Linked DNA regions of Oryza sativa Japonica Group. The protein of the gene in region 1 binds, or shares a complex with, the protein of each later gene. Links are inferred from orthologs where the notes say so. Each region holds a gene or a part of one and is shown on either strand. Other genes may lie near its edges.

Region 1 (2,418 bases):
GTCGGGATTCCATTGGATGAATCTTTAAAGAAGACGTGGCAAAGAGGAAACAAAGGCTAAACTAAGCCTTTGGTTTGAGAAAAACCGATCCTTGTTTCACCGAGGAAAAGAGAGAAATTCTGTATAAATTGACAATGCTGACTTGAATTGACTAATTCAGTTCCGCCTATTCCACATTAATGGGAGTACATTTATGTTTCTGCTTCACGAATATGATATTTTTTGGGCATTTCTAATAATAGCAAGCCTTATTCCTATTTTAGCATTTTGGATTTCAGCACTTTTAGCTCCGGTTCGTGAAGGACCAGAGAAGCTTTCTAGTTATGAATCGGGTATAGAACCCATGGGGGGGGCTTGGTTACAATTCCGAATACGCTATTACATGTTTGCGCTAGTTTTTGTTGTTTTTGATGTGGAAACGGTCTTTCTCTACCCTTGGGCAATGAGTTTCGACGTATTGGGTATATCCGTTTTTATCGAAGCTTTCATTTTCGTGCTTATCCTAGTTGTTGGTTTAGTTTATGCATGGCGAAAAGGAGCCTTGGAATGGTCTTAACTGAATATTCAGACAAAAAAAAAAAAGAAGGAAAAGATTCCATTAAGACAGTTATGAGTTTGATTGAGTTTCCCCTACTTGACCAAAGAAGTTCCAATTCCGTTATTTCAACTACACTAAAAGATCTTTCGAATTGGTCAAGACTCTCTAGTTTATGGCCCCTTCTATATGGTACCAGTTGTTGTTTCATTGAATTTGCTTCATTAATAGGCTCACGATTCGACTTTGATCGTTATGGATTGGTACCAAGATCAAGTCCTAGGCAAGCGGACCTAATTTTAACAGCCGGTACAGTAACAATGAAAATGGCTCCCTCTTTAGTGAGATTATATGAGCAAATGCCTGAACCAAAATACGTCATTGCTATGGGAGCTTGTACTATTACTGGTGGAATGTTCAGTACGGATTCCTATAGTACTGTTCGGGGAGTTGATAAGTTAATTCCTGTGGACGTCTACTTGCCGGGTTGCCCACCTAAACCAGAGGCTGTTATAGATGCCCTAACAAAACTTCGTAAGAAGATATCGCGAGAAATAGTTGAGGATCGAACTCTATCTCAAAAGAAAAATCGATGTTTTACTACCAGCCACAAGCTTTATGTTCGGCGCAGTACTAATACTGGAACTTATGAGCAAGAATTGCTCTATCAATCACCATCTACTTTAGACATATCTTCTGAAACTTTTTTCAAATCCAAAAGTCCAGTATCTTCCTACAAATTAGTGAATTAGGAGGAGCTCTTTGTGCCGAAAAAGAAAGAGCAGGGCAATATTTCAAACTTGCATTCGAACTGCGAAATATTTATACAAAGGAGGAGAGATCAAGATAATGCAGCAGGGTTGGTTATCTAATTGGCTAGTCAAACATGAGGTGGTTCATAGATCTTTGGGCTTCGATCATCGAGGAATAGAGACTTTGCAAATAAAAGCAGAGGATTGGGATTCCATTGCTGTCATTTTATATGTATATGGTTACAATTATTTACGTTCCCAATGTGCTTATGACGTTGCACCCGGTGGATCTTTAGCTAGCGTGTATCATCTTACGAGAATACAGTATGGTATAGATAACCCAGAAGAAGTATGCATAAAAGTCTTTGCCCAAAAGGATAATCCTAGAATCCCATCTGTCTTCTGGATTTGGAGAAGTTCCGATTTTCAAGAACGCGAATCTTTTGATATGGTGGGAATCTCTTATGATAATCATCCACGCCTTAAACGTATCCTAATGCCTGAAAGTTGGATAGGCTGGCCCTTACGTAAGGACTATATAACCCCCAATTTCTATGAAATACAAGATGCTCATTGAATGATAAGAAATTCATGCTCACTTATACAACACAACTCCAGATTTTATGCAAGTCAAGGAATATTTTTACGCTCTGTTCCTAGATGAAACAGAATACCTATTACATTCTAATTAATTCCAATTATACAAAAGGTTCAGATAGACTAAGCAAAAAAGGGCTTCATTTCGTTGGAAAATCACATATTCATTTCCTTCGTATGAACAGAAAAATATGATGACTCAAAGAAGTTCCCTACCACGAACTTTGTACCGCGTGCATTACTTAGAACAACTAGTAAAGTAAGATAAGATAAGCAAGAATAAAAAAATATTTGTCGGAATAGCGGAATAGAAAATTAAGAAATGCAAAAATGCAGAAAAAGAAGTGCCTCTATTTAGAGATTTATCTACTTAGATGAAAAAATCATACTCTATCTATATTATTAACGAATATGTATCCCAACCCATCTCGAGGTATTTGTATCAATACCTATTCGGAAGATCCCTTTTTTCTGTGCCAGGAACCAGATTTGAACTGGTGACACGAGGATTTTCAGTCCTCTGCTCTACCAACT
Region 2 (3,205 bases), on another chromosome or scaffold:
CTTTCGATAACTTATAGATGTTTTTTTTCTAAGTCGGAATAGATGGTTCATTTGCTGCTCAATATACAGTTCATTTTAAGATCAGTCTAGGTGAGCCTGATATAAGTAGCAGCGTAAACAGTTTATTTGCAGCATTACTGAATAGTACTATTTTCTTACTGCGTGGAATTGTACTCTGCAGTTTAGTACAACACAACTACCTAAGTAGCATGATGACATTAGTACTTAATGCAGCGATGGCATTTTTCTAAAAAAAGATTGAGATGCAGTTTTGTAATTGGCAATTTTTGAATTGTATGACACTCTTTTGCAGAATAATGCACATGAAGATCAATTCAGGCCATGGGTTGATGTTTCTAAAGACCACGAGGTTATTCCTTTGATCGATTGAGATTTACACATTGCAGCTGGTCAAACCCTCAAGTCCAAAACATTAAACATCTATTTGCGGGAATGACTCTCTTAAGGGTGACGTAATGTCATCAGCAGAGATTGTCTCGTATCTATATGGAATGAGATAAATAAATATATTGCCAATGATCGAGAAATAATTCCCTATTGGAATATGCGCACATCCTCTTTGCAAATAATTTAACATTGAGTTTTGCCTGTGAATTTGAGGGCTGGATTCCATGTTCTACCTGATCTCACCATCATAAAGCAATAAAGCAGTGGTGTTATTTCAATGTGATTGGATTACCTGAAGTATCGACATTTTCACACCGCTAATACTCAGCAAAAACCATAGAACGGAAATGCCATGAAACTAGAGTGCTAGACCCTTCCTTAGTCTTCACGACAGGGTAATACCCTCAGTTTGCTCAGCTTCTCTTTATGTAACCATGTTGGAGTCGACAAAATTATTATCGACTGTGAATGTTCTGCTTTTGTATGAACCCGATTTGAGTTCGGAAATACCCTAGCTCATGGCTCTTCTGGAAGAGCAAAATATACATTGGGCATCTTTGAACGGGAAAATCATTGATAGTTACATGCTTTCTCTTTAGGGTACAACACGCATTCTATTTTACATCTGGGATCTGGCTGCTGTTGAATTTGATCCTTGGTTTGCCCATGCTGAAATTGAGGACTCTAGACATCATGTTGTACTTTATCTCCCCATCGTATAGCAGTTTGCGGATGAAGTGCTCAAGATCAGATCCGATCAAACGAAGCGTGTACTCTGACAGCTCCGCGCCCTGTAAATTCAATCCAGGTCAGTTAAGCAGGTACTACCAATTAAGCTCTTACAACTAACATTTCCACCTGGAGAAAGAGACCATGGGTGTACACTACTGCTACCCTGCATTTGCAATTGCCAATTCTGCCTATGAGTTACGGTGCGTAGTATACCTCGTAGTGATCGACGAGGTCCTGGAACTCGTCGTAGACCTTCTGGCACGTCTCGTCGGTCCAGACGAACTCGTCGGTGGGGTCGAGGAGGAGGGTGAGCTTGTCCATCTGCGTCTGGTCGAAGGCGTTGGTCTCCGGGTTGATGTACGCGGCGTAGATGCGGATGTGCCGCGTCGTGCAACTCAGCCACTGCCCGCCGTACTCCCGGCTCATGTTCTTGCTCTCCGCCAGCGGCTGCACCGGCAGCGGCTGCGCCGGCCCCTGCCTCCTCGTCTTCCGCTCCCGCCTCTGCTCCTCCTCCTGCGGCGGCGGCGGCAGGTTTTCCACCGCCGCCTCCTCCTCCTCCTCTTTCACCTGCTGCTGCTGATCTTGGGCTCGCACCGGCGGGAACCTGACGCTTCGTCGCGCCGTCCACGTCGCGCGCGGGAGCCGGCGCTCGAGCGACAGCTTGGCCGGGGACAGGAACGGGGACGCCGTGGTTGCCATGCTGCGCGCAGCTGTTTCGCTTGGCTTTGGCTTGGCTTGTGTTTGTGTTGCGTGGGTGGTGGTGGTTTTTTTAGGTTTGCTGCGCCTGCGCGCGCGCGGCTAAGCTGCCGTGCCGTGCCGCCTTGGAGCCACTGGCTGTGTGTGGCTTGTGTGGATAAGGGCTATTTCTGGCACTGGGTTTCAGCGACTCGTACATGTTCTGGGCCAATTGACCACACAAATGTATTGGGCTGTGGACGTTGGCACGGCCTGTTGCATTGCATGACAGAGCTGAGCAGCACGCGCTCTCGTGTGGTATGGATAAATACTGTTGCATTTCTGACAAAACTTTGTATGTGACTGTTTTTTTATAACTCCATGTGGTGTGACGGTGATTTCATACTTAAAGAAGTAACCCACTTTTCCTCGGCACAGCAAAAGCAGAGGATACGCATACTCCATGGCCTTTAAAATAACGAGAGTAATTTTTTTTCCTTTTCACTTTGTGATGATCGCTTCACATGAAAGGCAAAGCAAAAGCCTCTGTAGTGATTTTAAGCTTTCTCAGGCGGGAAAAGTCTGTTCAGGATTACTCCATCCGTCCTATTTTAAGTGCAACCATAAATTTCCGTGTCTAACTTTGATCATCCGTCTTATTTGAAAATTTTTTATAATTAGTATTTTTGTTGTTGTTATGTGATGATACAACATGAATAGCACTTTACCCGTGACTTATGTTTTTAATTTTTTTTAAATAAGACGGACCGTTAAAATTAGGCGCGGAAAATCATGGCTACACTTAAAATGGGACGAACAGAGTAAAATACTTGGGAGACATGTACGTCGTACACCGGAGACTTGGAACACTTAAAACACTTTATTATATATAAACAACTTGTTCATATATATATATATATATATTGGGCAGTAATGTAATCTTGGCAGCAATCAATTACTACAACTAACGTGTATGCATGGTGCAGCAAATAGAATACTTACAACTAACGTACGAATGAACCAATTCAAACGAATGAAATTTAATCATGTATTTATGTACAAAGGAGAGACATAAGAACGTAGCTCGAGCTAGCCATGGACATTGGTCTGCATCGCCGGCGGCAGCAGCTCAGGAAGCCCGGGCGTCGATGCAACGATGAGGGGTATCACGGGGAGGTTCTCGCAGTTGCAGACCTCGATCATATTGCCGTCGGGGTCGTGGAAGAAGAGCTGGTCCACCACCGTCTCCCCGTCCCACACTTTCCTCACGACGAACTCCCGGTCCATGGCTCGTAGCCTCGCCTTCATGACCGCCATGTCTGAGCACTGCCATTCGCTCAAATCGAGTTAAGACAAATACGAACTCTGCTCTCGAACATAACAGTAGCTG

What was found. Proteins that work in one complex are often made in the same cells at the same time.
Region 2: the proteins of ndhJ (region 1) and nAD(P)H-quinone oxidoreductase subunit M, chloroplastic are in contact, whole or in part, in a cryo-EM structure (PDB 7WFG), measured with the Arabidopsis thaliana proteins. The link is inferred for Oryza sativa Japonica Group from reciprocal best matches to the Arabidopsis thaliana genes ndhJ and NdhM. Residues at the interface, in NP_051062.1 of Arabidopsis thaliana: Pro134, Ser136, Trp137, Ile138, Pro149, Asn150, Phe151, Tyr152, Glu153, Gln155, Ala157; in NP_001031804.1 of Arabidopsis thaliana: Thr156, Glu157, Tyr158, Arg161, Leu162, Ser165, Glu168, His169, Arg172, Ser192, Met193, Gly194.

Annotation. Positions count from the first base shown.
Region 1 is NC_001320.1:47,438-49,855, reverse strand, and holds ndhJ (NADH dehydrogenase subunit J), read left to right. Parts: upstream 1-1,384; coding exon 1,385-1,864; downstream 1,865-2,418. Other genes in the region: ndhC (NADH dehydrogenase subunit 3), read left to right, coding at 194-556; ndhK (NADH dehydrogenase subunit K), read left to right, coding at 610-1,287. UniProt on the Arabidopsis thaliana protein: NDH shuttles electrons from NAD(P)H:plastoquinone, via FMN and iron-sulfur (Fe-S) centers, to quinones in the photosynthetic chain and possibly in a chloroplast respiratory chain.
Region 2 is NC_089038.1:27,480,375-27,483,579, reverse strand, and holds nAD(P)H-quinone oxidoreductase subunit M, chloroplastic, read right to left. Parts: upstream 1,880-3,205; 5' UTR 1,840-1,879; coding exon 1,354-1,839; intron 1,200-1,353; coding exon 1,023-1,199; 3' UTR 659-1,022; downstream 1-658. Other genes in the region: uncharacterized LOC4336531, read left to right, coding at 314-391; uncharacterized LOC4336529, read right to left, coding at 2,905-3,141. UniProt on the Arabidopsis thaliana protein: NDH shuttles electrons from NAD(P)H:plastoquinone, via FMN and iron-sulfur (Fe-S) centers, to quinones in the photosynthetic chain and possibly in a chloroplast respiratory chain.